Linked DNA regions of Schizosaccharomyces pombe. The protein of the gene in region 1 interacts with the protein of each later gene in a biochemical or structural test. Each region holds a gene or a part of one and is shown on either strand. Other genes may lie near its edges. The genes, in order: cnp1, sim3, cbh1 and ani2.

What was found.
Region 2: the proteins of cnp1 (region 1) and sim3 form a complex in vitro, tested with the Schizosaccharomyces pombe proteins (2 studies listed by BioGRID, with this or other methods).
Region 3: the proteins of cnp1 (region 1) and cbh1 interact in a test that uses a peptide from one of them, tested with the Schizosaccharomyces pombe proteins (one study listed by BioGRID).
Region 4: the proteins of cnp1 (region 1) and ani2 interact in a test that uses a peptide from one of them, tested with the Schizosaccharomyces pombe proteins (one study listed by BioGRID).

What each region holds. Positions count from the first base shown.
Region 1 is NC_003423.3:3,533,983-3,541,940, forward strand, and holds cnp1 (centromere-specific histone H3 CENP-A), read left to right. Parts: upstream 1-4,521; 5' UTR 4,522-4,618; coding exon 4,619-4,981; 3' UTR 4,982-5,221; coding exon of another isoform or gene 5,222-5,710; 3' UTR 5,711-6,181; downstream 6,182-7,958. Other genes in the region: DNA-binding transcription factor Rsv2, read left to right, coding at 1-862; 3-hydroxyacyl-ACP dehydratase Htd2, read right to left, coding at 1,421-2,323; signal peptidase complex subunit Spc1, read left to right, coding at 3,107-3,190, 3,236-3,322, 3,378-3,443; RNase P subunit Rpr2, read right to left, coding at 3,578-3,901; pth3 (peptide release factor), read right to left, coding at 5,222-5,710; adi1 (acireductone dioxygenase family protein), read left to right, coding at 6,240-6,776; SPOM_SPBC887.02 (ClC chloride channel), read left to right, coding at 7,280-7,409, 7,521-7,958. UniProt on the Schizosaccharomyces pombe protein: Histone H3-like nucleosomal protein that is specifically found in centromeric nucleosomes. Replaces conventional H3 in the nucleosome core of centromeric chromatin that serves as an assembly site for the inner kinetochore.
Region 2 is NC_003423.3:777,969-786,025, reverse strand, and holds sim3 (CENP-A chaperone, NASP family, Sim3), read left to right. Parts: upstream 1-3,542; 5' UTR 3,543-3,763; coding exon 3,764-4,954; 3' UTR 4,955-5,427; downstream 5,428-8,057. Other genes in the region: GTPase-activating protein Gyp1, read right to left, coding at 1-913; syj2 (inositol-1,4,5-trisphosphate 5-phosphatase 2), read right to left, coding at 7,444-7,608, 7,659-7,710, 7,756-7,974, 8,020-8,057. UniProt on the Schizosaccharomyces pombe protein: Histone H3 and H3-like CENP-A-specific chaperone. Promotes delivery and incorporation of CENP-A in centromeric chromatin, probably by escorting nascent CENP-A to CENP-A chromatin assembly factors.
Region 3 is NC_003424.3:4,456,789-4,465,190, reverse strand, and holds cbh1 (CENP-B protein 1), read left to right. Parts: upstream 1-4,312; 5' UTR 4,313-4,421; coding exon 4,422-5,966; 3' UTR 5,967-6,271; downstream 6,272-8,402. Other genes in the region: abc1 (ABC transmembrane transporter Abc1/Ybt1), read left to right, coding at 1-2,112; pyridoxal reductase Plr1, read right to left, coding at 2,406-3,407. UniProt on the Schizosaccharomyces pombe protein: Binds to centromeric K-type repeat DNA and ARS3002 DNA. The CBH-binding consensus sequence is Py-Pu-A-T-A-T-Py-Pu-T-A.
Region 4 is NC_003424.3:4,322,624-4,330,198, forward strand, and holds ani2 (FKBP-type peptidyl-prolyl cis-trans isomerase), read right to left. Parts: upstream 5,846-7,575; 5' UTR 5,749-5,845; coding exon 4,660-5,748; 3' UTR 4,524-4,659; downstream 1-4,523. Other genes in the region: protein Nuf2, read right to left, coding at 1-584; SPOM_SPAC27F1.05C (aminotransferase), read right to left, coding at 1,029-2,483; SPOM_SPAC27F1.10 (uncharacterized protein), read right to left, coding at 3,865-4,170; dolichyl-diphosphooligosaccharide--protein glycosyltransferase Ost1, read left to right, coding at 6,481-7,575.

The DNA.
Region 1 (7,958 bases):
GCATCCTATGAAGGACTCGGCGACGAGCACTGCGTTACGCCGTTCTCATGCTCTGGGAGCTGCTGCTGACTCTCTTCTTCCTCAAGAAAACTCCGCTCAGATATATGATGGGAAGGATGTATCTATGGTCAATGATAACATGCACTCCGATGTTCGGCAGGACAGCTTCAATAAAGAATCTATTAAACAACGCATCCCTTCTTTGTCTCCTCCGATAACGCGATCATACAATGCCAAGCATCGCCCCTCCTTGGTGCTTGGTACGTCGGTAAATCCACATTCACTTTCTCCTTCACAGCCTCCTGTTGTCGTACCTTCAAATACTACGATCAGCTCCTCTCCTCCACTCACTTCTCCTGTTAAAACCTCTGCTAATATACCTAACTTATTACCGACTTCAGAGTTAGACAGTTCCAACGCTCCTCACTCTCAATCGGCTGCTACTCATGACCTAAATGACGTTAAGTCGTATTACAATACTAGGTCTTCTCATTCCGTGGTACCTAATCCAACCAACCAAAAAGTAAGCATCACCGGTGCTGCTGCTGATGGCCCCAACGGATCTGCTCCTGTTGACACCACTCCTACAAATTCTTCTACTACTGCTACGGGTGCTCAGAGGAAGCGTAGGAAGTTTAAATTTGGTAAACAAATTGGTCCAGTTCGGTGTACTCTTCAGAACAGAGTTACAGGAGAAATTTGTAACACAGTGTTTTCTAGGACGTATGATTTGATCCGTCACCAGGATACGATACATGCTAAGACACGACCTGTATTTCGATGTGAGATTTGTGGCGATCAACGCCATTTCAGTAGACATGATGCCTTGGTTAGGCATCTCCGTGTGAAACACGGTAGATAAATTGAAAGGAGTCTCTTCTGCCACAAATATTAAAAAAAGGTTATTGCATTATCTATTGTCATTTTTCACCTCTTACGCTTCTTCATTGATTCCTTGTTTATGAATTTTAAAAAAAGTTGCATTTTGCTAATTATTTTCAAGAAAAAAATTGGTACCGTTATTATTTCACAGCCCTTTTGAAAGTGCTTTTTCCTTTGTCTCCTTTCATGTACATTTATCATCTTAATTTTGCCTCTTCATTTCATCGTATCCTCAAGCTTCATGTGTAATTTCAAACCCCTTCTCCGTCTAACGGTTTCCTTTTTTATTTTGGACGGTCATAAGTGTTTTTATATTTTGTTTTCATTTTTATTGGGATTGGTTAATATTGTTTTTTTTTTCTTACCAAGTTACTGTTAAATGTTAATAAAAAATTTTGTGTGTTTTCACCTTAAATTGAATACCTATCATGTAATTTGATTTAGTTTTACATACTTAAATTTTAATATTAGTAAGTAGTATTTGTAATTTAGAAATATTTTTTCTGCCGGTATTAATTATTATTGTTTTTCAGTTATGTTAGGTATAGACGCGGCCTCTAGCAATCAAAGACGGTGGATCAAGGTCTGTAGTAAATCGATCAATCCATAGGTTACCTGTCTCTGAGATACATATGCGTAGTGGTTGATTGACAAACGCGGGAGATAATAATCGAAACTCAAATCTTTTCATGTTCTTTGACATTTGGGGATAAACAGAACGAAAGTACTCTAACATACTAGTCACTAGAAGAGGACCTGGAAGAACGAGATTTGGATAATTTTCGGACTTTGTAGCGTATGTCGCATTCCAATGGATCATATGAGCATTAAACATTAATGCTGAATAGCGAAACACCATAATAGGTGTAGGTGTGAATACCCAAGAGTGTTGTGGAATACTTTTGCTACGTAAAGTTTTTGGTATAGCCAGTTCTTGTCGATTTAAATAGGCTAATGTTCTATCTTCCTCGATACATAATTGATGCTGACTGTCGTAAATTTTTCTTCGAATATATACATGCTTTGTCTGTTTTTCTGAAGTAGGCTTTGTTAGAAAAGAACTTTTTGGAAGACAAGCTTCAACTTCTTTTGTAATTGATGGAGATTTCACAGATTCTTCCTGAATCAATTCATGACATTCCGAAGTTTGGAAAAGATGTAAAGGTCTATGAAAACGAAGGACTCCATGTAACCATATTCGGCGCTTAAAAGAAAAAGGATTATTTGGCTTTGGGGAATAAAGACTTTCATATCCATCTGAATTCAAATTTGATTCAGGAGATGCTAAAGAGAAAAAAAGAAAATGGTAACCAGGCTGTAATGATGTTATTTTAGCATCCATTGTTATGCAACTAACAGGCAAATGACCACTTAAAGTAGCTTTTAACTTATCAATTGGCGCTTGAGATAAGAAATCCTTTAAAACGACCTTTGCTGACATCGATGATTACTTTCTGAAACGCTTTGCACATTGACTTTTCAAGTAGGCAATTTATCAATACTGAAGGTGATCTATTAGAAATTATTATAAATTAGCCGAAGCAATTATCCCTAAGAAGACCTCAACTTTTAAAATCGGAAAGGACAAATCTTTGAAGCAATAAGCTCTTAATTTTATGGAACCTAATAACTTTAACAGCTACACATTACTAATTGCTTTTGGCACGACCCAAATTGCTTAAGGTATACGTGTAATGCTTGTTTTATACCGTTAGTGGAGACTTGACCTCTTTTAGCAATGAAGTACTAGCAAAATTTATGATAATCGCACATCTAATAAAAGATAATTTCACCAAATGAAAAAAAAAACCACCTAAGCAATTAATATACGATTTAAGTCACATACATTTAAATTAAGCCCTTGTTGGTGAATCTTTATTAATTATTAATCGTTTATGAACGCTGAAGTACCTTAACCTGTTAATTGTAAAGATCATTTCTATATAATGTTAATAGGTCATCAATGAGCCGCTTTTTCATTTTCAAATCGAATTTGACATTGAGGTGTTGATTTACATCTATTGAAAATGAAGGAGCAACCGATTTGCCTATATATTTTCATGCCTCTTTTTTTGCTTGTTTTTTGTTTCATATTCATCAATGTACAACGTGCTATTGGATTACAACACGTTATTATGGTAAACCGAACGATAACGAGATTCATTCGTTGTAACCACATAATACAAAAAGCAACTTTACTGTTTTGAGAAAGAGCAAGCATACCATGAACTATCTTGAAGGTACGATCGATTTTGCAGGACAATTAAGGTGTCAAAAGTATATGAACTATGGTCTATGTACAAGTGCTGTATGTCAGGGATAAAATCTCATTTATTTACTAATATATCTATAGGTTATTTCGTACATTTATGGGTATTTAGTTCAAGATTCTTATTGTGTGATTAAATTGTTTTTAATTTTAGCATCGTTGGTGGCTCTTGTAAGCTAGTTTTTTTGCTTCTAGTCATGTAATATTAACATTCATTTAAAAATAGGTGTGTCTTCCTGCTTGGTCTATGTACAACAAAAACCCTTTAAAATTTCAAAAGAAAAAGGAGTAAGCGGGAAATGGGGAATCTTTCTTTACTTGAATCGCAATCTCGCGAAATTAAAGAACCAAAATACCAAACAAAAGTTGCTCCGGCTTTATAGAATACAAATAATCTTTCATTCCAAAAGTAATGCTAAACATGTTTTAACAACTTTTGTCCGAAAACCTTTTTTTAAACGCACATTTTTTGCATATCCACAATACACGATCGATAGATGGATTTTTCCGTGATGGTTCCTCAAATCTTATTGAACATGACTTTCCTGGTACCAATAAAGAGTTACATCCTTTACATATGGTGCGCTTTATATCTGGGTGTATTCGCATTACTGATTTTTGTGAAACATCCTTGGCTGTAGAGATATAGTGTCTCGACAATGTAGGTTCTTGAACGTTTCTAAAAAGTAATTGCGAAGCCTGGTATAAATATGATACCCTTGCATGTTGGTCCTTTGACTTTGTACTCATCTCGACCGTTTATGTTTAAAACACTTGAGCTATTAAAGGAATTGCAAAACAGAGAACAAACAACTTTCCGTTTTTATAATGGAATGCAAAAGTCAAAAAAATTATTTTTAACTTAACAATTTAATTATGTTTCTTATAAAAATCCTTCATTAAATTAATTAATAAATAGTTAATGCTTGTTGCAGTCTGATTTTACCATAGGTCAAATTTTTAATTTGTTTTTCCACGGTAAACTGCGTTATGTAATTCTTTGTAAAAGAGTACGATAAATTTTTAAGGCTTTTGGATCAATTATAACCGAGATATAAAGAGAGCACATATGTTTATTCAATTAAAAAAAAATCGGTCTTGAGTTTCGCTTGGGTTTATATGATTAATTTCTCTTACCTATAAATAGTGAGAAATCATATATTCGTAAGCTATTATTAATACTTGTTCTTTTTAGCTGATGATGTGGAACGAACAAGAGCCTAATATTTTCATGTATTTTAATGATTTTCTTGTAAAACAGTAGCTTTAGTATTTTCTGACAAAGAACTTCTGTTTGATTGTTTACATTTTTAAATAGTGAGCTAAATAATTTAGAGTCTATGCTAGTCGCGACGCGTCAAACCCCTGTCAAAACCAAAACTCATTGTATCGAGCTCTTGCATTTGTTCCAACAATTACTGTTTAAAAACCTTTATTCCCAAAAGAAATTGATAGGAACAACTTAATATGGCAAAGAAATCTTTAATGGCTGAGCCTGGAGATCCTATTCCACGGCCACGTAAAAAGAGATATCGTCCAGGTACTACGGCGTTAAGAGAGATTCGAAAATATCAAAGGTCTACAGACTTATTAATACAAAGGCTCCCGTTTTCAAGAATTGTACGAGAGATATCTTCAGAATTTGTAGCCAATTTTTCAACGGATGTTGGTTTGCGCTGGCAATCTACGGCACTGCAATGTCTTCAGGAAGCGGCTGAAGCGTTCTTGGTTCATCTATTTGAAGATACGAATTTATGTGCTATTCATGCTAAACGAGTGACGATTATGCAACGAGACATGCAATTAGCCAGGAGGATTCGTGGTGCTTGACACTATATATTCAACAAAAAAAAATAGTTTTACGCTTAATCATATTGAAATTGGAATTGCTAAGGTATGATCAGTTTAATTGATATCAGGTGATTTTGAGACAGATCTTTAGCTACTCATTATAAGACTCTAAGCATGCTATCTACCAAAGAATTATTAAAAAAAATGTACGAATATGCTCATAATGAATGATAAATCTCACTCCTAGTTAATGCCATGTGAGTACCGAAGCAACGCAAATTAGATCACGTCTTGTTTCGCTTCATTATTATTCAGGCTGGAATCCTGGTCATCAATCTTATTTCCATACTTCCTTTTACTTTTTTTCTCTCGCTGTTTTTTCTTCTTGACAATACGTTGAACTTTTCTTGCTAAAAGACTATCGTTCCCGTGTTTGAATTCATCTACTTTCTCCGTTAACCGTTTCCTTGCAATACAACGATTTTGTTCACGTGAACGTGTGTCTTGAGATCGAACGATAATTCCCGTCGGAATATGTTTGACTTGGGCCACTATGCTAGTTTTATTTATTTTTTGTCCACCAGGGCCCTTTCCACATATAAATGTTTCCTCAATATCTTCTTCTTGGAGTCTTTCTAGTTGATAAGGTGTTTCTTTTTTAGAGCAATACCATGTATGCCGAAAATTTAGTTCTGCCAGACAAGAAAATGCATTTAGTCTTACTGAAATAAATGTTTTGTTCAAACACTTTCGTGCTGCGCACAGCATCTATGTTCACCTAAACGTGTTACTGCTAATAAATAGACAAACTTGACTAAAATAAACAACCTTGTCCTTTGGAATGATAATAGGCGGTCTGGTTGATTAGCGTGAAACTTGCTTAATACATTAAAAAGTTATAAGGGGATTTTGTATTATTGCTTTTCTCAAAGGTTACTGTTACAAAAAAGAAGAAAACAGAAACTTCTAAATTAGCAGAAAATTCACGATGTTGGAATATCGATGAACAAAATTGCGCACTTATTGCATAAGTTTAAAACTCTTTAATGTAATATTCTATTGTCACACTGCCCCAATAATATTTGTTTGGCATAATGCAATAGATACTGTATTACATTACATGCACAGAAGAATTTTTTTTTTTTTTTTTATTTTCACCTTTACTCTCACTCGAGTAGTGTTTTGCCTGCTTTCCAATTGACACCTCTTCTGTTTAGTCTAAAGTTTTTCGTTCAATAATTTAAAAAAGTCTTAATTTTCTTTAATTTGCTCGTGACTCAACATAAAAATAACATCAATGAGAGCATACATTTTCCAAGACGAAGGCGATCAAAGAAAGCCGAATGACTCAAAGATTGAAGTTTCAGCTGAAGATTTAGAAGCTGCTAAAGTGTCCTATAGACATCATGATGGAGATCTACATACCTTCGCCGATGGCCTTATGAAAGAATATGGATTTAAAAATCGGGATGAAGTTGTTGTTAGTAGAAAAGGACTTGGAGATCGTTATGACAATATGGTAAAGAAGTTCTTTGAAGAACATTTGCACGAAGATGAGGAAATTCGATTAATTCTCGATGGTAATGGTTACTTTGATGTCCGTTCTGTCGATGATAGATGGGTTCGAATTTTTGTTGAGAAAGGCGACTTAATAATACTTCCTCCTGGAATTTATCATCGTTTTACTACGACCACTGATGACTATATACACGCAATGCGCTTGTTTCATGAAAATCCAAAATGGATTGCATTGTCTCGCACAGATTCAACCAGCGAGGAACTGGATGCACGAAAAAGTTATTTGAACAGTATTAAAAAAAGTGTTTATGTTTAATTAGGTATATGCAACAACTGATTTATATCAATAATCTTACGTATGGATTAACACTAGATATTAATAAGAAACTTCCTTTATAAGGGTTTAATGTACAATAAAGATAGTAATAAATATAGTCACTAATCATTTATGATCATATTATTTTAAGTTACTGATTGTATTTGCTTATTGGAATGCAGCTTTCAATACACACAATTCTTTCATCTCGCTACGACACAACAGTCCCTACCTACTCACTGCCTACCTTTTGCCGCTTAACGTTTTGTGCTAGTCATTTTTTTGTTTTTTAAATCCCCATATTAAGGATAAAACTAAATTACTTCCATGTTGAGTAAACTGCGGAAGACTATTTAGTTACTTGCCCGGAATCCTTAACCTCTCTAACAAGCATTAAATGCGTCAGTTACAAGCAGAACTCTTACGTTTATTCCTTTAAGCTATTAGGTGAATTTATATATTTGTTAACTAACGACAACTATTGACTGGTACAAAATCTTAAAATGAAGGATGACCAACTCATTGATTGGATTCACGAGAGATATGAAGAGCAGAAAAGTGCTAATCGTCTTGCAGGCCGTTTCAGGTTTCTAGGTTTAGAAACCAAATATTCAATTATTTCCATTATTTCAGGTACGTAATCCAACCATTTAAATGCATCTGCATGTTGGTAGTGTACGTGATATTTTATTTGACTGTTGATTTACTGTATTCTCTTTATCTGATTTCTGACATTTTTGGAAGGTATATTTATCGGCTTAACAGCTGCTTTATTAAATGCTCTCGCATCATTACTTAACAGTTTTCGTGAAGGGTATTGTACTGTGAATATACTTTTTGACAAACAGACTTGTTGTTCAACCCTAACGGAGGACTATGAATGTCAGGAATTTTTTTTTTGGAGAAACAATCATTCCGTTTTTGTTTCTTGTTTGATATACGTTAGTGTTTCAGTCGGGTTTGCATTCATAGCAACTACTTTAGGTTATGTAGTAGCTCCTGCTGCTAGAGCTAGTGGCATTCCGACAATTAAAGCAATTTTGAGTGGCTATAAATACCCTGATATGAACGTTTTTTTTTCTATAAAAACCCTTTGTTCCAAATCTTTAGCTGTTTGTTTCAGTGTTGCATCTGGTTTATGGGTTGGAAAAGAAGGGCCATTTGTTCATATAGCGACAAATA
Region 2 (8,057 bases), 2.8 Mb from region 1:
CATATAAAATACGCTCAAGCATACGCTGCGTCAATGGGTTTTGGTAAAGAAGAATAGAGGGGTTCGTCCTCGGAACGTCAAGGACAATTTGTCGCCAAATAGTTTGATCCAAAGGTGGTGGCTCTGTATTTGTATTAAAGCAGGAATCTTTTGCTGCGTTATATTCGTCTCTCTTTCGCTTTAAAGTGACTTCACGACGAGAAGCATTACAAGGTAAATATCCTAACAAGTATTTCCAGACAATAGGTCTATGTTCGGAGGGAATTCCATTCCAAGCCAATGTACGAAGCGCATTTAAATCCACAATTGGAGCATCAAGAATTCGCGAAAACTTCTTGATCCGAGAGACAAGCGCATTGCTTTCAGCAACCTCAACTTCTACAGAACGATGGGCTAGTTTAGCGGGTAAAGGAAAACGACCAGACGAATGAAGCTTTTGTCTAGAAGTGGTAGTATCCACGCCATTTTGAGGAAATAAGGAGCGGCTTGAAGAATTTGGAGTAGTACTTCGAGCCATACGAGGAAGAGATTTTGAGGCTTTAATATTCGAAACTCCCCAATCGTCATCTGTCTGTGACAAATATTTGGCAAACTTTGCAGACACTTTTTTGCCTACAACAGCTTCCAAGGAAAGAGAAGATCTCGCAGAAGGTGCATAGATTTTAGACTCACTAGCAGATTCGGGTCTAGTTATGGACCGGGCCAAAGAGATATGATCTTTTGGGGGTTGATCTGAGTAAACAGAGTCGTCCAATCTGAACGGTTGAGCTTTGGAAGAAGTGCTTCGACCACGATGGTGATGGGTCCGGCTTCGATCCAAAACAGTAACTGGATCCGAAGTGGCGCTAGAGGATCCATTCCATAAGCTGGAGAGAGTTTTTAAGGCGGACGACTTTTTTGACTGAGATTCCATAGTGGAAAATCTTAAAATACGAGAAGAAAAATTGTTTTTACAAAATGAAGCAGTAATTTGATAGCCTTGATGGACACAACAAATTTAGCAAATAACAGATACTCTTTGAATTTATCGCCAAAATAAAATACTTTTGGTTAAGATGCAAAAAACAGTTTCAAAATTTGCTGTAAAAAGTAGATGAAACGTTTTAGAAGGCAATAACTTCAAATGTTTAACGACGAAGGATCTTAGGCACCACTCATAGACTTACCGGACTTGAAGTCTTATTCTTTTCTTATCAAATGAAAACTATTTTCAAAAAAAAAAAACTTAAGCTATTAGAAGCAAAGCCGTGTCTGTGGGTTCCATCCAAACGAAAACGCACCAGCTCGAGATCTTGTGATCTATTAGAACAGCGCGGAATTTGAACACGAACAAATGTTTCGAGAAAACCTTAGATACAATCCAATACACTAGTATATTTACAAATTTTAACCGAATATCAACGAAATTGTGAAGATTTACTCGGTCTGTGCAGTTGCCAAGGCAGTTGCCCTTATTTGGTGGAAGAACAAAACAATAGGGAGGAAAACAGTAGGTGTATGGAGTTTCTTATATATGAGGTTTTTTTAATAAAAGGAGCAAGGTTTAATACTTTAATTATTTATCTCACTTTTTAGTTAAAGGAAATTCGTTTTAAGCCATGAACAGTTGATAGAAGGATTTTGGCCGTGCATGGTCTTATTGCTTGGGAATGTTGGGTTTATATGCGCAGAGTAGTAAAAGATACACAGCTAGGTCTCATTTAACAATGTTTATATCTATGAGTTCTATCTCTTCTTTACTTAAGTTGCTGCCAGTAAAAGTGAACAATGTAATTTTGACAATTGTGACTAGTCGCTTTTCAAAACAAAAAAGAGAAAAGTATAAACGTTGATTAAGAAACGTAAAAAAGTATTTCCTGTCAATAATGAATCTCTGATTTTATTGTTATTTTTCGTATTGACATCCTAGTTACCTAATATAATACGATGAATTATAAGCATTTTAATACCTACTAAGTTTAAATTTTCCTGAAATACAGTCTAAGATTTTCCTGTTCCTATATATTTCTAACAAAACACATTTTTCAAGTAGATGATCAACGAATCTAGTCTAACTTTCAATCCCAGTCTTTTTTTTAGCAGTTTCGGGTATTTGTTTTCAAACATGTATTTATATCTTTGATTCAGTAAAATTACTTCAACAAATGCATTGAAGAGGAATGATTTAAAAAACATATACGGTTTTCAATGTTTTAATGAACAGAGCAATTTTCCAAATGTTGTCTTGTCAAGAAATTGTAATGTATGTTCTCCAAAACTGACATGAGAACAAAATAAATATGTACTAAGATAAATTTTATATTGAGAACAATCAAAAATTATAGTAAGTTTAATAATCATCCAAAAAACACTTTCCTTCTCTCGTTTACATCTTGGAAAACACTCTAGAGTATCGTTATTCATTGTGATGAAATCGAAACTACAACTCCAATCCAATAATAAAGGTTACTGTATGACAATAAAATAAACCATACATCTTCCCTTTAAGTCGTATTACGACTTGTAAGAAGATTTCCTGGTTGCCAAAATATCATTCATAGTACACAATAATATTATGTGCAAAGGTATTGAAATGAATAAGTACGAATCAAGGTAAATGATTATTATTCCCAAATGAGCTCAAACAAAAAGCAAAAAGAATAAAAGGAAGCCTACAGCACCCCGGATTCCCATGTTGTCTCCAACCATAGTACTAACGAGGCCCTCAGACGCTTAACTGCAGTGATCGGACGGGAACTGGTGTTTTCGCCTAGGTATGGCCGTAGACGTTTAAAGTAGAATATTTAAACATTTTAAAGAAAAAATTAATAATCAGTCAGAGTACTGTCGATTCACTAGAAATTTTCTATTTATTGTTTATATATTCATACAGTAAGATCGTGAAGTATTCAAATCCTTGGTATATAGAATATTATCTTCATGCATTCAAAGATCGTTTAGGAGCTATTTGTACAAGCTACTTGGTGCATATTTGTCTGTTTATATTGCAAAGTCAAGAATTTTAACATAGAGAAAGAATAAAATGAAATGGAATAAAGAAATGTTAAATAATGTTATGAATCAGACTTGTTCTTGAATTGCTAGTCATAACAACTTCTATAAGACTCAACACGTTTACGCGCTTTTTATGAATGTAATACGTTAGACAAATTAAATAGACAAGTACAGTCTATGTGTCATTGACTCAACACTTAAGCATTTATATGATCTACAAAGATGAAGTCTATAACATGATCTATCACGTATTATGAATGCTTAGCCATGGCTGCTTTAAGAAGATCATCTTTTAATCCATAAAACAACATTGTTTTGGCACGAAGCGAATGATCCGTTTTGCTTCGCTTTGCTGGAATAAAAATGAAGCTGTCAGAACGAATCCTATACATCGTTAAAATAGAGTTATTAACAAAGGAAAACAAATAAGTTCAATTTGTTGCTCTTGTTATGCCATCAAACGCTCGCCTATATACGCTTCATCTTACTCCCATTACTTGCCAATGCTAATAGATTCATACATCTGCAAAGGCTCACCTCTACTTATTAAGAACAAAACAGAGTGGTTTTAACTCATTATCTATTAGGAGAAAAAGCCAGAATATATTTTTATTAATATTTCTAATCTAAAAAAGTGAATTATCGAGTCGTTTTTTCTTTTTCACTATTCAGTCTGTTGGGTCACTTTGGTAGACCTAGCGTAATATCTAATTGTCGTACCTATTACTTGAAGTCTTGAACTTCATAATTTTTAAAAGTTACGCGAAAAATGTCTTCTGATACGAAAACACTGGAAAATAGCAAAGGCAATAGTGCTACAGATGCTGATACCAAAAACCCTTCTTCTTCGGATTCGCGAGCAATTGAGCAACTAGTCACTCAAGGTAATATGGCTTATGCTCAAAAAAATTATGAGGAAGCCGTTGATAAGTATGGTCAAGCGCTCATGCAGTCAGAGTCCATTCATGGTTCTGAAAGTTTGGAGAATAGAAATGTTCTTTGGCTGTATGGAAAATCTCTGTTTCAAATAGCTATTGAAAATAGTCAAGTCCTGGGAAATGCGTTGGGTGCCAAGGAGTCTGTGTCTCAAGCAACCGAAAGTTTTGAAGAACCAGAAGCTATTGGCTCGTTCACATTTTCTGGTCAAAAAATTGAAAATAAATATACCGTCAATGAAGAAAATTCATCAATAGCACATCCAGAGAAGGAAAGTGAAGAAAAAGAAACAAACGAAGCATCTCCAGCTTCTGAAGAAGATGAAGACGATTTTAACGTTGCTTGGGAGGTGCTAGATCTAACAAGAGTCATGCAGTCAAAAGCAGTAGATGCTTATCCTGACAGTAAGGATGAAAAGATAAGACTGGCGGATATTTACGATTTATTGGGAGAACTTTCTCTCGAAATTGAAAACTTTTCTCAGGCTTCTCAGGATTTAAAAACGGCCCTTGAGTGGAAAGAAAAGGTTTACAACGTTTCAAATAATACACTTTTAAGTGAAGCCCACTATAAGCTTGCACTAGCACTTGAGTTTACCAATCCAGAAGATCCCTCTAACAAGTCCCGCGCTTGTGAACATGTGGAAAAGGCTGCAGAAATCTTAAAAAATGTCTTAAATGAGCGGGAAAATGAAGTTACGGATAAGAAAGGGAAAGGAAAGCAAAAGGCTGAGGAAAGCACGTTAACTAGCGATCTTGAGAATTTGCGCGAAATGCTATCGGAACTTGAACAAAAGACGCTTGATTTAAAGCATGGCGCGCCAAGTTTGGAAGAAGCTGTTATGTCAAAGATGCATGAGTCATCCTTATTATCTAAGGATAGCAGCAGTCTCGCTCAAGCTGTTGCTGAAGCTGTGAAAAATGCCAATGATTTAGGTGGATTAGTAAAACGGAAACGTACGAAGCAAGAAGTTACTAGCTCCTCTCAAAAAGAAGGTCCTAAAGATAAGAAAAAGAAGGATTAATTGATCACAATTAGTTGAAGTTAGCAAGAGCTCTCAATCGTTTAGCATTTCTGTTCTTCATTTACATACACAATGGCTTCCTAGGAGTATATGTCAAAAGAGCTTTTTAATTGCTAAAATTTAATTGCTTTATTACAAAGGAATTGTTTAGTATAATCGCAATGAAATATGTATATGTGCTATTCTTTCTATCTTGCAAATTTGAATCTTATGAAGGGTCATTTCCTAAAATATATATGAAAGATCCATTCCGCATCTTTTTCATTAAGCATACGGGTTCGAGACATGATATTGCAATTTACGATCCTACAGTTTAAAAAATTAAGGAAAAGAAATATATGTTTTTACTCATGTACGTGTCAAACACGTAAAATCGAAATATTGCATTAAGCAGGTATTTATAAGGCAACGTTTCTATATAGGTTGAAAAATAAGATAATCAAAGCAGTTGATAGTACTAAATTAAAATGGCGTTATAATTATATAAAGTTCTTAAAGAGCATGTTTAAACAGCTACTTTGATTGCTTGTAGTTATAGTCTTCAACGTATTTAATATGGAAACTTAAGTAAAAAAACATAAATTTAAAATGCCAACTCCTTTACTCCTAAAAAAAATTATTTTTGTTCTATTTGATAAAAGATGGATATCAAATAGCGCTATCTAAGCCGTCTGCTAAACACTATACCATACAAGGTACATACTCTGTAAATGTCTTAAGGATACTTTAAACGGGCAATTTAATTGTGAAGTACAATATTGATATAGACAGGAATATAATAATAAACAATGTGTAGTATTTTTTTTAATGGTTTAATCATGCCAGTGTTTGGGCATCTCACAATCAGCTTAAGGGGCGTAAATTCCTTTAAAATTTAATTTTTAAGGATTCAGATTGGAAAAACGACCTTTCTTAGATAACTATTTATCTATATCCGTAGAAACGGCTCTAGATAAAGAATCCAAATAGTGATTTATAACGTATTGTAGCGCTGTTCACCTATAGGAATTGTAATCACATTTACCGTATATATATTTTGTGCACTCTAACTTGTTCTACTATCTAAGCAATTTATTCACATACCTACTTACGGAGTCTGCAAGAACATACAACAAAACAAGTTTTCATTATTGGTTTTTTTTAAATCAATCCCCAAATCCAAGCATCATACGCCAAAGTTTAAGTAAGAAATATCTTAGAATATGGCGTTTAGGAATCGAATGTACCAATTGTCAAATGTGGATGATGCTGACGCCGATATTTTAAATTCTCACTTTGCACCAAACCCACGAGGGCAAAATCATACACATGGACGCCGACGCAACACGTTAGCTTTATGTACCACGAAGGATCAAATGTTTGTTTATGGCTCTACGCCGGCAGGGGGCGCGGAATGGTGCTCCTGAGGCGCTTGAGCGCTCAAGACCTCGTGCTGCCTTTAAGCAGCAGAGGCGTCGCCATGTTCCACGTTGGATTAGTGACAGTTTTCGAACGTGTTTGCCTAAGCCCTCCGGCATACTGAAGGAACAGACGGTAAATGAAGAGGAAGGCAATTCAAGACATAGAGGAAAATATGATTGTGATGAAAGGATCGGTGTTGCAGAATCCATGAACTATTGGCATGGGATAGTTCGGACTGAAGAGGATGGATCGAAGACTCTATTTTTAATACCTGAAAGTTGGGAAGACGTTCATTTGAAAGAAGGATTAGTTGCCATCATAGACTTAGCCGTGGATCGGCTTCACTGCTCGAAGCTGGTATTATTCGTTGATAAAAATAACAGTTCTCTCCCTTATTTAGTAAAAAGCTTACATTGGGTGGGTTTTGAGCCTCTCCCACATCTCAATTGTAGCGATCATGCTCTTTTCGGCATGGAGCTGTGAACGAGACTATATCTGTTTATCCTTAAGCTTTGATTCATCCTTTATTTGCATCTCAAAGTAAGAACACTGGCAAATTTTCTCGGTTGTTTTGATAAATTTGTTATTGAGCTGAATTGATAAAAATATATGCCCCTCATCACATGTCATGGTTAAACTGTGAACATATTATTTCTTCCTCCCCCATTATTATTTTTCATGGAACTTCATTAAATATTTTCTTCGGTTACACTTTGTCTTAGGTGTGCTTGGAAAGAGTCAGCGAGAATTTATTCAATCCAGGTTCATTTATTACTTCCTTGTGAATACCAAATTTATTCAATTCACGAGGCTTTTCATGATTTAGTTGTAGATTTTATTTAGATTGGGTTTACGATCATATTTTTGCTTTTATTACCCCTTTTTTTAAGTTATGCCTGTTTTTTGGTTATATAGTTTGAATGCTTTTCTCTCTTTAATATGTTAATAATACGAAGGAAACATCAAAAAAATATATTATTTTAAAACAAAAATTAAAAATAAATAGATAGATTAAATGTGCACTTTAAATAGTTGGAAATACGAAATTTCAGCAAAGGGAGGCGTAGATCATAAATAATCGTTAACGACTATTTATTACTATTTTTGCTTTTAATATAAGCAATCCTTGCGTCTCTTATGATTCCGGCTTTCTTGTCCATACAAGTACTGAATATTTTAAGGCTGAAAGTAGCGAATACAGGACGATGATCGGAACATCTAATGTCACAAGATTTATAGCAATTCCTAGTAAACTAAAGTTTCGGTTAGAGGTACACTACATTGAAATATATCTACAACTTACACTTTTTGTGGCCAAGATTCGATCTGTCCATGAAGGCACTCTCTGTTTATCTCTATAGCCATGTTAACAGTGTGGATTTGGTTTATGGTAAACGTACGAAGTGTCATAATCATTGGTTCCATTATCAAATTTGTAAGTAGGAAGAAATGTTAACTGTGGTTCAACTAAACCATGAAACACGGTGCCTTTCTTCATTTCTGTGCATAACTGATCATATGAAGCCAACTTGTCTAAGTCGTCCAGTTCAACAAGTTTTCGAACTTCTTCGTTATCAGAATCTATACGATAATTAAAATCACCCATCCATAAAATGTTCCTATGTTTGTCAGTAATGATTTTTTAAATACTTATCGTCACATACGTATGATCATAAATTTTCATTCCAGATGGAAAAACAAG
Region 3 (8,402 bases), on another chromosome or scaffold:
GCTGAAGTATACATTTTCGATGATATTTTCTCCGCTTTAGACGTCTCAACCTCGAGGAAAATATACGAATCTTGCTTTTTGTCTACTTTGCTTCAACACAAAACTATAATCCTTTTCACTCATAACGTCAGTTTGTGTTTACCGATTGCTGAAAATGTGATTGTGCTTAAGAACTCAACTGCTCAGTTGGTTTCTCCAGATTCTATTCAGGAGTTAGTACCTTCTACATTTTTTTCATCAAATACCAAGAAGGACAATATAGAAGAAGAAAATCTTGAACCGCATAGTTTCTCATTCGACAGTACCTTAGCTTCTTCAAGCGATAATGATGAACAGCGAGATTTTGCTTCAAACTCTAGTATAGTATTACTGGGATTACATTACTTGAAATACTTTGGTTCTAACAAATATATCCTAGGGTCAATACTACTAGTTATGATGTCCCAAGTTTCGTTGGCCAGCATTCATTTTTGGATAGCTTTATGGTCCGGAAACTCTTTATTTTCACTTAAGCTTCCTTCTTCTTTTTCTTTCTTATGGGGCTATGCTATACTTTTGTTTATATACTTTCTTATGGATTTATCGCGTGCAATTACTTTTGCCAAAGGTGGTAGAACGGCAAGTGAAAATATCCATGATATTTTAAGTGAACGAGTTTTATATAGTCCGTTACATTGGTTTGAGAAAACGGCTGCTGGGAGGATATTGAATAGATTTTCTAAAGATATGTACGCCACGGATAATCTGTTATGGGCCTCTTTGGAAGGCATGTTGTTGTGTGTAATGGCTATATTAATAACTATGCTAAACGTTACTTTGGTGATGCCAATATTTATGGTGCCGGCTGCTTTTGTTAGCTTATTGGTTTATCTTCATGGATATGCGTACTCAAAGGCACAAAAACAGCTTACCAGCCTACAATCCTCGAGAACCTCACCTGTTTTCACTATGCTGGGAGAGACTTTAGGAGGGATTACAGTTATCCGTGCTTTTAAAAAGGAGAAGATTTTTGAACATGAAAATATGGCTTTTATTGACGATATGATTCAACCATTGTATATATCATTTGCTATTAACAGATGGCTGGCAATACGTACGGATGGGATAAGTGGCCTAGTAGGGTTTTCAACTGGTCTTATTGCTTTGTTAAGACAAAACATACCACCTGGACTCGTCGGATTCTCTTTAAATAGTGCCATTGGTTTTAACATCTCTGTACTCGTTTTTGTTAGGGCTAACAACGAAATTTTGACATACATAAACAACTTTCGCCGATTATATGAATATATGCTTTTACCAAGTGAAAAGAACGAAAGTTCTTGTTTGACGAAACCTATGAATAAAGAATGGCCTACTTTGGGGCATGTCAGCATCAAAAATCTTACAGTCTCTTATTCAATTGGCCAAGCGGCGGTTTTGGAAGACATCAACTTGGAAATACTTCCCAAAGAGAAAATTGCTATTGTTGGGCGAACAGGAAGTGGTAAAAGTACAATGGGTTTAACTTTACTTCGCTTTACGATGATCATGTCAGGTGCGGTTGAAGTAGATGGCATTGATATCAACTCTCTAGATTTGGAAGTCCTTCGTCAACGTATTAGTTTAATTCCACAGGATCCTGTGCTAATATCCGGTACGGTCCGAAGCAATCTTGATCCTTTTGAGGAGTATGGAGACGGAGAACTAAATGAAATACTTAAGACTGCTTCCTGTGAATCTTTAGTGCAAGCTTCAAACAAAAATTCTCTTGACGCTTTTGCGATACATCTTGACACACCGGTTGATTCAGGAGGTGTCAATTTTTCTTCCGGCCAAAGGCAAATTCTAGCCCTTGCACGGGCGTTAGTCCGAAAATCTCGTATTGTTATTTTGGATGAGAGCACAGCGTCGGTAGATGATACTACTGATCGAAGAATTCAGCAAATGCTTCGTGCAGCATTTAAACATGCTACCGTTTTGTGCATTGCCCATCGAATTAAAACAATTGTAGATTATGATAAAGTCTTAGTATTGGATTCTGGTAAAACGGTGGAATTCGGATCCCCCAAGTCACTATATACTCAACGACGGGCGTTTTGGAAAATGTGCAAGGAAAGTCATATTAGTCTTTGAATATTTTTTGCTGACTTTCAATACATTCCATTTGTAGAGCAGCTTTAAACTGATCGTGAGCACCCATCATTTTCTTTTTTTCTTTTTTTTTTAGAGCATACTAGAAACATTTAAACGAGATCGAGCAGAAATCGGTAATAACAAGCCAAACTCTATAAACAAATGATTTAACATTTTCGCTGTAAATAAATTGTCATTACTGAATACCTAAGTAAGGCTAGCATATAATAAGTTTATATTTAATATGCATTTCAAAACTGAAATGCGAAAGAGTATCGACTAACTTCAGCACTTTAAACGGAAAGAGTGCCCGCAAGCTGTTCATTATAACGTAACCCGTAGATTGGGTATTTACTCAAGACCTCTTTGGCCTCTTTAAATTGTTCAGGAGACAAAGATTTATTCAGTGCATTGAGATTGCTCTTTGTACGAGAAACAGATGTGGAGCCAGGAATAGGAATGACCAGACCGTTTCCAGACGCCATTATAAAAAGAAGTGAAAACTCGGGCATAGTCATACCAAACTTTTTAGCAAGTTGCTCGACAGCTTGGAGGAATGGAAGATTTTTAGCAAAAACATCAGGGCTAAATCTGTCCAAATATTCTAAGAATGGGAAAGATTTAGCAAATTCTTTAAGGTCTTCGACAGTCTTAATGCGACCAGTCAAAAGGCCACGACAGAAAGGAGAGTATGCAATAATAGGGATAGATAACTTCCTACAAATATCCATAATACCGTTTGTCTCGATATCACGAGAAAACAAGGAGTATTCGACTTCGACTGCAGCAATGGGGACCACAGCGTGAGCACGTTTGATAGTTTCAGCAGAAACTTCGCTAAGGCCGACACATGAAATCTTTCCAGAGTCCACAAACCCCTTCAATGTCTTCATGGTTGTCTCAATGGGAACATTTGGGTCGACTCGAGCACATTGGAAGAGATCTAGCTTTTTGGTCCCACGTAAATGAGCTATCACATTTTCAACACTCTTTGACACGAAGTCCGGATTTCCATCAGGAACTAGTGTTTTAAAATCCAAACCACCTTTGACAGATAAAAACACCTTATTAGCGTTTTCGGGATATTTTTCAAAATATCTAGCTAATAAATCTAAATTAGAGGTGGGAGGGTCGACACCATAAAATTCACCCGCATCCCAATAATTGGAGCCTTGGGATAAGGCATAATTCATTACTTCAAAGGCTTCTTCATCTGGAGTTTGCTTGGGCTTCCAGGTTAAACCCATAAGACCAAAGCCAATAGGTCCGACTTTAAATCCGCTAACGATAGGCATCTTTTCACAACTTTAATTTAAAAATGCTTAACTCTGTAAATATCAAATGTGTATTCTCAATTTTAAGCGAATAATATTGGAAAAACTAAGCTGCTAGGTATGCAAAGCTTGCTATTTATATGATAACGGTACCGTATGCTGTAAGAATTTCCTAATGGTTCTTTGAGACGATGCTTACTAATTAGTTCTACTGTTAATAATAATGAATCAAACGTAAGTAACACCTACTCTTCGTACCGTAACTAGCTTAAACAGCTTTGTTCTTTATTTTTGGCTTTGCTTTTATAAATTTACTTCTACATTTTTAAACATTGGATCACACGTGTAACATACATTATTGAAATAGACTTGATAGTAAGTATTATGAATTGAACTATGAATGGAAATATTGGAATTAAAAGTAATTACACCAAAACTGAGAACTTACATATTATGTTATTTGAAAATTCGAGAATTTATTAAATGAAAGAGAAGGGAAAATGCTCATGAACTTCAGAATCGCCATTTTTGTTACAATACCAAGGAACATTTATTTATTTACACATTTTTGTTTAATAGTGAGAAGAGGTGTGCTACAGAAATGAAATTTGAGGAAGTATTCAATTAGACTCTCATTTAAAACATATATGAGAATTGATTTTAAACGGTTTCTAACAGCGTTCATGTCGTTCTTTCTCCTATTTTTTGCTCTTGAATTCTCTTTTTCTTACTGACAAAATCGTTAAGATACGCAAATTTGCTATATTAACCTGAACGTCATAATTTGAGCATCTCCAATGGCATTGTTATTACAGATTAACAATAGGTTCGGTATATTGCACTTAGATTATATAGGGTGCAAGGCAGAAGGATGCACTAGTAGTACTCACCTTCTTAAACCCTACAAGGATAGAATTCGTCTTTTCACCGTTATTTCCGATATCTACTACAACATAAAATAATTGTATAAATCCAAGGCTATACTCTTATATCGGTCTGGAAAAGTATCGGCATAGTAAGTATTAAGGAAAATCAATGCCTCCTATACGCCAGGCCGTCTCTTTAGCAGAGAAAAAGGCAATTCGAGATTATTATAACCAATCTGCCCATAGAATTCCTCAAAAGGAAGTGACAGAATGGTTTCGAAAAACGTACAATAAAGATTTATCGCAGTCAACGATTTCCGAAATTCTTTCACCCAAATACAGTTATTTAGATGATGGAAGTGTAAGACTCGGTGATATTAAAAAAATTCGAGCTCCAAAGTTTCCTTTGCTTGACAATGCCGTGTACGAATGGTTGCAACAAAGAGAAGTTGAAGGCCTTCCTATATCAGGGGATATGATCAAACAAGCTGCTACTCGATTTTGGTCGAAAATTCCGGCGTATGCTTCTCTCCCATTACCAGACTTTAGCAATGGTTGGTTGGATAAATTTAGAAGAAGACATTATATCCAGCAAAGTGCGGTAAATCAGGCATTGGAATCCATCAAATTTGAGGTGTTTAGAGAATACCCAGTTCATATTCAAGAGTTTATACGGCCTTATGCCCAAAAAGATATATTTTGCGTTGGAGGGACAAGCCTTTTTTGGAAACTCACTCCTAATAAACAAAACTTGGATTATCAGGAAATCCAGGGAATGAAGCGTGGAAAAGCCAAAGTGTCTTTAATTATGTGTTGCAATGCCGATGGGTCAGAACGACTACCTTTATGGATCGTGGGTTATGCACAAAACCCAAGATCTTTTGAGCAGTGCGGTATTTTCCCTAAAAGTATGAACTTCGAATGGAAGTGGAATGGCCGAGCTTCAATTTCACCAATTATTATGGAGGAATGGCTTCGGTGGTTTGACACACGTATGCAAGGACGCAAGGTCCTATTGATGTTAGAGAGCAATGACACATATCAGTTCGGTGTTGAAAGTGTTCGACGGTTTAAAGGTGGTTTTCAGAACACCTCTGTATTTCGAATTCCAGAAAAAACATTGGACATTAAGTCTCCGTTTGAACAAGGAATAGTCGATACATTTAAAGCGAATTATCGAAGATACTGGTTGCAATACTCCCTTAATCAAATCAACATATTGAGAGATCCTCTAAAAGCCGTTAATGTTTTAAAAGCCATTCGGTGGATGCTTTGGTCTTGGAATTTTGGGGTGAGTGAAAAGACTATTCAAGCATCTTTTCTCCGATCAGGATTATTGGGTCCACATTCCGAGGCCGAAGGACAAGGAATGGAGTCGTATCAAAAGGCCATTATGGAAATTGGTAATCTGATTTCAAGCAAGGGCAGCGAAGCTGTTAAGCAAATTAATGAATACATTAGACCTTCTGAAGAAGATGAAACCAAATTACATCAAGATGCTGTGGATACCGTTGCTGCAGAGTTTCTGGAGGAGAGACGCTTTGAGTCGGATGAGGAAGAAGACGTGGAGCCTCAAATATCAAACGTGGAGGCTGCCATGGCCTTTGAAGTCTTAATAAAATATTTTGAGCAACACGAAAATGGGGATCCCTCGTTTGTTTTAGATTTGTACCGCAGACAAAGAGTGATTGCCCCTAATAATTTAATAGCGTGATCCACTTACGGAAATAAATTGAGAGCGAGTCTTACTAAACCCAATAAGTGCTTCACGTTGGATGATTTCAATCTCCAAAGCAAACAAATTTCCAAAAAAAAAATATAGTGAAACAAAAGTCGACACTCGTACAAAATTACTTTTTTTAATTGAGATTAATGTTTCTGCTTACTTTTGGTTAACTATGGCGGGCGGCTTTGAACCCTTCTCGTTTAATATTCTTTTAAATTCACTTAGTGTGTGTACATATACCTGAACAACAAAACATTTTATAGGATTCTAATGATATTATGAATTATTAATGATTTTTTTTGTATAAACTGTGTCACATTGTGTTTTCCTTTGTTGTATGCAAGACAGAGATATAGAGAAGCAGTGAGAACAATTAATAAATAAAAATCAGTTAGCGCGCAAATGAAAAATAAAGCATTAAGCAATGATGCTTTAATAATTTAATTTAATTTAATTTAATTTAAATGCTATAGATGATGAATGATCATATGGTTTTGTGAGTGAGATGCTGTTTGAGTTGTTGCGCTGGTAAACCACTATTGGAAATGCTAGAAAAATGGGTAGGGGTTTTGATATGACTTTAAGTCCGAATCTGAAAACCGAACCATTAATTTTAATAGCTAGGTAAAAAAGCCACACACAATCAGAGATTTTACCAAAACAAGACATAAAAAAATCACATTATGGATATGAGGCAACTGGAGTGTGGAATTTAAGGAAATATGTTTATATAATTATGAGTTTTCATTGAGCTACAAAACAGAAGATATATTTCATTGAATAATTTCTGTAGTGATGACCCACTTTAAAAAAAAAAAAATTTGAAAGTAGAGTAAACAAAATGGAATATGCCATTTTTAAAATACACACTAGAATGATCCACACTAGCTATGGTGATCTTAAAGTATATATACATATCTTCTTAAATCTTGAAAGTTTTGCTTATCAGATCTTTAACGCGCTCCAGTACGAAAAAATGGCATGCTTAAAACAACAATACAATAATGTGATGAGTAATAATATGGGTTATTAAAAAAGTAAATTGGAGAAACAAAAAAATTAAAACATTGGAAGAGTGTATAGTTCTCACGGTTTTGCGTTTTATGTGTTTGAATTTACAAATTTCAGTGATCTTCGCTATCTTGACAAGTTGCACAATGGAAATTGGCACTGCGACCATGAGTAAAATAGTTTGAATTTCATTTCCAAATTTAGTTGCGATGTTTGCGAACAAATTACTGAGTGATTTGAATGTAGAGCAAAGATGATTAGTTAGAAGAAACAGATAGAGGGAAAAAAGAGAAGAGTTAATAATTGAAATAAAATAAAAATAAAAAAAGGGAAATAAGAAAGCAAAAAAAAAAATTTTATTAGCTCTTGAAAATGTGGATGAAGCACTTCCAAATAGTAAAATTTGATTAGGTAAACAAACCGAAAAGAATAAAATGAATGCCACCGAAAAAAAAAATGTATGCAAAAAAAAGAACAACAAATGGAAACGAAAAAGATTTTCTAAAGCAATATCAAGAAAAATTTTTTAATTCATTCTAGTCTTCCTTAATCAGCGTCGCATTTCGCATATTCAATACTTTCTTTCATTTTCCTTTGTTGCATGCTTTATACCATAGCAGGTTATGCACTAATCACATGGACTATAAACGAAGACAAATGTCCGAAGGTGGTCAAAGTGCGAACCGCTTAACGAACCTTAACACAACAGTGTCAAGAGAAAGCTTCGCATGTTGAAAATTTTAAAAAGACGCAGAAAGGATACTTTTGCAGTAGCAGCAATAGGTCGACCAAAATACTGGCTCATAGAAAGTAGTAGTATTATATTTATGATGCTAAAGAGGTTGCTAATTAGGATGCAAGCGATGGGAATATCAAAGAAATGTAATAAAGAGTAGTAGGGACAAACACTCAAGAAATAGAATTTTATTTTATTTTTTTATATTTTATTTTTCTTTAGTAACAAATGGAACTCTGGTTCGTTAAGTGAAAACAAAAAAAAAAGACACGTTGGCATAAAATCGACTCACATTCATCAATCAAGACCAACTTTGAAACACATTATACTGCTACTACTACTACTACATTACAACCGTTGTGTTTTTGTTTTACAACTACCAATCCAGTCAATCCCCCACATAGACCAAAATCTCCCACACACGTGAACCCCAGTCCAAGTCTTCACCAGTCCCCTCCATCCCACCCTTTCCTAGTCTTAACGCTCACCCTACCCCCATAAGGATCGAAATCCCCCACTTTGCGACTTTCAAAGTACTGGGCGGAAACTGGCGTAGCTAATGTCTAAGATGTCAGCGTAGGTGGCGAATTTTAGTGTCTCGGGTATATCTGTTTACACAAGCGTTTGCTACTATTACCAATTCCTAAATACAGAATAATGGTTTAACCAACCGCTCG
Region 4 (7,575 bases), on another chromosome or scaffold:
CGTTTGTCTTCTATCAAAGACTGAAACATTTCTTCGTTTCTTTCTTCATTCTGTTTAATAATTGCCTCACTTTCCAATTTCCTATCTTGGCTTAACAAAACTTTTTCCTCTAAATCTTTTCGTTGTGCATCTAAAAGGGTATACGTTTCCAGAAGGCTTTCTCGCTTCTGTATATCATCATCAAATTGCTGTAACCTCTCTTCTCTGAGTTTTGCAAAATTAATAACTGCTGATAAAATTAGTTGTAGTCGATTTCTGTCTGGTTTCAATAGGTCTTGAATCGTAAAGTCATGAAAACAGATGTTTTGCATGAATTGACTTAAAATCTGATAAAAAACAGTAAATCTTAAAGACTCATGTATTATCTCGAAATTCTCGACAGAATCTTGTAACGAATTAACCTTCTCTTCTAAATTCTGGCGGGTCAACCCCATAAACAAGTCAAGAAATTCTTCATACAGAGGGATGACGGCTTTCGAGGTTGGTTGGTCAAGCTCTTTAGCCGTGAATGGAATTCCAAGACCATCTATGCATTCTAAAATCTCAGCACGCTTCAAAGAAGGAAATGTGTGTTTTCGTGCCATGGTAAAGTTGATGGTTAACTGAACAACTGGATTTTACGTATTTAATCTGCTTTGATTGTGAATTTAATTATAAATATAATAAAATAAAATTTAAATTTTTTATTTAGTTGCATGTTCTAGATATTCAATTTTTCATTCTTTTTAAAAAATCAAGAACAAAGCTGAATTTCGTATAAGTTTTTCTTCTGTCATACATAGTAAATTAACAACTCCGTTTTATATATCTTTTTTAAAAAGTGAACGATTTGATTTAAAATAGTTCTATATAGTTTATATAATTTTACAATCGATGGTTTATCTCAAACGTTGCATGTAAGCAAGAAACAATATAAGGAGCATATAAAAGCTGAAACTAGATAAGAAGATAAAAAAATTAACATTTATGCCTGATGACCCAACTTTACTAAAAGCCTGAAAGGGCTAATGATAGATGAAACCAAAGTTTTAGGTTGACTTGGCTGCAACAGCTTCCTTAACCTTAGCATCAAACTTTGCAACAGCAGATTCAACGGCTGACAAACCTTCGTCTAAGTCGGCTTCTGGAATAGTTAAAGGAGGAAGGAAGCGGAAAACTGAAGGATTATTGAGTGAACAGTAGACTTGGACGTGATATGTATCGGCAAGGTCATTGACAATAGGAGTTGCATAGTATTCGCCGAATTCTTCTTGAACTGACTCAGGAATGGGATAAAATTCAATACCAACTATCATTCCTCGACCACGAACATCCTTCATAACATGAGGGAATTTTGTTTGAAGTTTATTAAGACGATCAAACATGATACCACCTAACTTGCGGCATCTAGAAAGAAGGTCGTTTTGCACGATATAATCGATGGTAGCAACACCGGCGGCAAGTCCAAGAGTGTTTTCTTGATAAGTGGCAGTGTGCAGAAAAGCCGTTTCAAGGGAATTGTAAGCAGCATTCCAAAGCTCCTCTGTAGCGATATACCCTGCAAATGGAATGAGTCCGCCTGAAAATCCTTTGGCGAAAGCGATACAATCCGGAATGATGTTTTCGTATTCACAGGCCCAGAATTTACCGGTACGACCACAACCGGTTTGAATTTCGTCTAAAACGAGATATGTATCGTACTTAGTGCAAAGTTCACGAGCCTTTGCAAGATAACCTGGAGGAGGGACAATAACACCACCTTCGCCTTGAATAGGCTCAACAATGAATGAACGGTACATACCAGAGGATAAGGCAACTTGAAGTGCTTCCGCATCACCGTAAGGGACGTAGTCAACGTCGAAAGGAGCAGGACTTTGATATTTTTGCCATTTTTCTTTGCCGCCTAAAAAGACGGCACCAGTGGTTTTACCATGGAAAGAGTTCAAAGTAGAAAGAAACTTTTTCTTGTTAGGCTTATAACGGGTAGCAAGGCGAATCAATTTAATAACTCCCTCATTAGCTTCAGCACCACCGGTTGCAGTCCATGTGCGAGTAAGTTTTTGACCAGGAGATAGCAAAGCCATATTGCGACCAAAGGCAGCTGCAAGGTTACGATAGGAAATGGCACCCATCATATATAACTTGGCATCAAAGCATTTCTGTAAGCAATCCCAAACATACTGATTGTTGTTACCGACCGTTACGACTCCAACGCCTCCAATTAAGTCCAGATGCTCAGTACCCTTTTCATCAACAAAACGAGAATTATCAGCTTTCACAAAATTGCGAGCGTGGCCATGGACAGTGCGTAACTTGTTTAAGTGGTCGAGTTGTAACTTGACAGTCGTTTCTGGGTCCATTTTCATGGCTTCGTCGAAGCACCACAAACCCTCAGGATAATTGCTGGCTGTTCCATTTTCGGAGGAGGCATCGGTTTTTGAACCATTTGTGTTAAGTTCAACCGTCTTTGAGGTAGCAGTAGCAGTGGACGTGGAATCAATCATGATAAGTGCGTAAATTTAACGTAAATAAACGAGCAGGAAAGATAGTTCTTAACTCAAAGCTTCTTAAATGTAATTTCCAAATGAATCTTTACAGTATATGGTTACCTTGTATAATCCACTCCTTAGATTGAAGAAAAGGTCGAATGAATGTTAACCTTTTACAATTGTTGGCATTCACAGGCAGCTTTAGCCTATATATATAGTAAAAATCATCAATGCCATATTCCTATGTACTTGACCGAAAAATGGCTATTACCTCTCTCACATCCCCCGATCAAAGTCGTACTGCCCAGATAGCAATTAGCGTACTACAGCCTTCGAGTTGGCCGACGGGCAGAACCGAGAAGAAGATATACTCTAATATTTGATCATTACAGAATTGGTCTCAATTATAAGAATTCAAGAAAAAATATCATGCAATGAAGTGTATTTAGTTCAAAAAAGCTTTGGCGCTAATAATAATGTTGGAGCAGAAACAAATGATTGCGCAGAACTATTTTACATAGGATAAAGTAAGCAAAAAAAAAATAATAATAATAATAATTAATTAAAAAGATTAGATTGAATCAAACTATGTGATTTAATTTATTGAAATAAAACTGGTGTTGATTGTGGATATCTATGTAATAAAGGTTACATGTTTTTTTTTTAATAATTTTTATTTATTTATGAATTAATTGGAAAATGTTTAAAAAAGGGCATTCAGCTGTGTCTGGATATTTAATTTTAAATATAAAATAAATATAGATATATTAAAACGATAAAAATGAAAATAATATTTGTCACTTGTCGTATACAGTCTTTAGGATAATAAATTGTAAAGCAAAAATAAATAAATAAATTATAAATTATAAAGGTCACAATAAGATATAAATGACAGCTTTCTGTCTGAATCAGTTTATCTAATAAATTCAAAATTAATAAAATGTATTAAATCATCTCATATTCATATAACGATCAGTTCTTTTGACCGTCGCGATAATACCGCCGAGCCTTAAATTTCCTAGAGATAGAAATTGAAATTTCATTCCTGCTATAATCTGTAACTCTCTACACACTGCGCATCTCGTAGATCTTGATATACTTTGAGATCCCCGTATTCGGCTCAGCTTTGTAATCTAAAGATACCGCGGAGTGAATGTTGGCCGAACTTGGTGTAGCCGAAAATGAAAGAGGAAATAAAGATGTGTCGCAAAGCCAACACAGTGATCTATCGTATTTGTTGGTATTGAATAGTCCGATCCAGTTTACAATGTTGATGCAAAAAGCCCAGGAAATGCAGTAAATACATAACTTGGAAAGTGATTATAAAATCGGAGAAAGAATTCATAGTGACTTATAAAAATAAAGACGTTCGGTATAGAACAAAGCATCTATTGATTCACTGTGATGTAAGGAACGTGTTTAAATGAATAATAAAAAAGCAGTTAACGATATAGCCAAATACAAAAGTTGAATCAAATAAGCTAATATTATATTTTTCGCACTTCTCGGTAAATGATATCGCCTCTGTCAATTTAAAGTAAAGTAAACTTAGACGAATTGAAAGCCAATAAGGAACCAGACACTTTGGTGCCTTTCCAGTTTGAGATTTGTACGGTATAAACGAATTGATGAGTTCCATCAGCGTGGATTTCAATAAAGCATACGCAGTAAACCATGGGTAGATCGATCCAGTTAATTGCATCCTACTATGTATAATTTCTTTTTTTATTCTAAATCAACTTGCAGTAGATAAAATACATGAGAGATATCGCGAAAACCAATTATGAAATCTCAATTAAAAAATTGAGGGAATAAGAGTATTTAGTAGCCTTCTTCATATAATAAATTCACAAATACAAAATTTTCTAGTGGCTCCACCAAATATCCGTAGATAACTAGTAGCGATTGTGCTTTCCCTCACTCATGTTTCAAGACAACGACTAATAAAAAAAGTGTTTTATTTATTCTGATGCCCATTATTGCTCACACATCTAATTCTATCATCAGTTTAAAAGAGTGCTCAAGATCCTCACCTTACTGCGACCAATTAGTTGTCTCAGTAACATACATATTTCTACTAGAGTGCTTACTTTACCTCAAAATAATTCGAATAATATTCAAAAAATTTGCTATTCCGTAATTTCCAGACCCAACTAAACCATAATTTTTTTATGAACCAAACTACACAAAATTAATTAACCGCTAAAAGCTTTACGTCAAAAACCAAATCTGAATTGGCTGGGATACCTGGAAGACGTTTAGAGCCATAGGCCATGGCAGCTGGAATATGAATTGTACGTTCTCCACCTACTTGCATACCCACGATACCAACGTCCCACCCTTTTATCACTTCCTCGAGTCCAAGATTAAAAGTAAAGGGCTTTCCGGTAATGTTTTTGTCAAATACCTTTCCGTTAGTAAGACGACCTATGTAACGCATAGAAACGCGCTTTTTGCGCTTCGCAGCTGGTCCGTCACCTTTAACTTTATCTTGAACCGTAACGTTTCCTTCAAGTACTTGCTTAGGATAAGTTTTTGTAGACTTAGATTTCTTCTCAGTTTGTTCTCCTTCACCGGCGGGTTCGGTCTTTCTCTTTTTGCCGTTCACAGAATCTGATACGTCGACAGCAGTTTTCTTTTCTTTCTCTTCCTTTTTAAGCTTATCCTTGGAATGCTTTTCAGCAACTTCATCCTTTGGAACAGGCTTTTCTAAAATCTCTTCTTCTGCTTGCTCGGCATCCTCTTCGTCACTGTTCAACTCCTCTATACGAGCACCATTTTCTTCCTCTTCTTCTTCGCTTGATGTAACGGAAATATCATCCATTTCTTCTTCATCGCTGCTAAATTCATCTGCTCCATAAAGAAAGTCATTCTCGAGGTCACTACTATCCTCCTCCTCCGGAATGTTTGTAATTATGCATGTTCCGCTCAAATAAACCGGAATATCACCACCAACTCGTTCAAAGAAAACTTCTTCTCCAGGAGAGAAAATAATGTCAATTGGTTGCTGGTAAACCGAGCCCTTTTTAAGGGTGCATAGGGTAAATTTTTCTTCTTGAAAAAGTTCTTCGTCACTTTCTTCTCCATCTTCTTCGGGGTGCTCAAGCCTAGTGATCACGTTTACTGTAACGGCATCATTTGATTTAGCTCTAGGATCCAAAGCTGCCATCGTAAAACGAACAGATAATTCGCTACGAAAGCCTTTATAAAAGTCTTCATCGAAAAGAGGAACACGCTCCTGATCCACTTTAACACTGTAAAGGGTCTCTTCCTTACTCATTTTGTTTATTTAGAATAAATAAAATCCAAAAAGATACGCAATAGACGATGGGAATCACAGAAATTCACCACTGGTATATCAGAGTAGAGTAAGTGTTGATGAAAAAATTGTACCAGTAGCAAACCTTTATGACGCCTTAAGTAATGTTATCTCGCCTATTCATAAGCTTATTATTACCGAACCAAAACGGAAGCGTTAGAAGCGTTTTTCAGTTTGATGCATTCTCAATAGAAAATTTTAAAAGGTACAAATAATTAGCAGTAGGGGTTAATCTTCATGTACTTTCGTTCTTTACTACCAATACTCAAATAGCAAGTCGCCGTCATCTTCATTCGTGATCTTAGTAGTCAAAGAGAAAAAGCCTGGTTATTTGTGAAAATTTTCTTTAAAGTTCAAGAACGGAACATAATTATTTTAGCATTAATTTAACGGAGAAACTACTATTTATTCGAATATCTAATTTTACTTAACAATTTTTTTTAATCGGAATGTGTATACCGAACTAGTCCACCAAGTCATTAAAGATATTAACGAGTGTATACACACTACGTTGTGCATATTGTTGGTTTTTGGGCTGGCAAACCTAACCTGAACGTATTACCGCTCTTTAAACGCATAGCCTCTTGAAGGTTATCTGTAAACAGCGTTTTTCAAGGTTGTAATAAATTCATTTATTACCTATTCTAAAACAGTGTTGAGCTTTCCAAGTTTCACTGGTTGCGGGTTTCAGAAATGTTAGTTCTCAAGCTATTGTTGTGGTCCATCATATCTGGGCTCAGTTTAGCTGAGCAGGTATGGAGAAATAGTAACGCGATTCGTACGATTGATTTACGCTCCACTTATACCAAAACTCTCACTTCTTTAATTATTGTAAATGAAGGAGATGAGCCTCAAAATACATATCGCTACTTTCAGCAGACCTCACCTGGCGAAAGTGTCTTGTCTCTCTCCGTATCGATAAAAGAGGAAGAAAAGAAAGGAACTAACCCTATAAAAGTTAACAACAATGTTTATGATATTCCTTTACAACCTCCTGTCAAACCTGGTGAATCTCGTACTTTATTAATACAGGCAGGTTTGGACGGTGGTGTTCGTCCTTTACCAGCAGCTGTGGATCAAGACGAAGAACAATATTTGGTTTACCTGACAACCCTTTACTTAGATAGTCCCTACACTACTGATCTTCAACGCACTCGTCTTATACTCCCTTCTGCTAAAATTGACACATATACTACGTATAATATTGATGGAGCTGAACTTCCCAATCGTGTTGGCAATACTTTGGTTTACGAAAGCCGTGAGACTATCACCGGGGAGGACAATGATTTAGGTGAAATCTATGTTCGCTATGAGCATACTGTACCTATTCCTCGCGGAGCTGATCTCTATGTTCAAATTGATATGCATGAATACCGAAAAATGTTAGAAGTCTCGGAGCGTGTGGTTTTTGAAAACCATGCTGCCAAGCTGAAGTCCAACTTCGATCGTGCCAAGTGGTATATGGGAAACTTTTACAATCCAGTTTCTACTGCTATTAATCGAGTCGTCTATAGTCTTCCTAGAAATTCCAAGGATGTCTACTATACCGATGAGGTGGGAAACATTACCACATCTCATATGCGAGTTGAGCCTCACCAGACATGGATCGAGTTAAATCCTCGCTATCCTGTATTTGGGGGATGGAACTATTTGTTCCAATTGGATTGGAAAATGCCTTACGAGGAGTTCCGCTCTTCCAAGAATAGAAGGGAATATCTTGATATTCCTCTGGCATGGTCACCTGGTGACATGATTTATGAGAAAGCCGTTTGGTCTTATGTTTTTCCC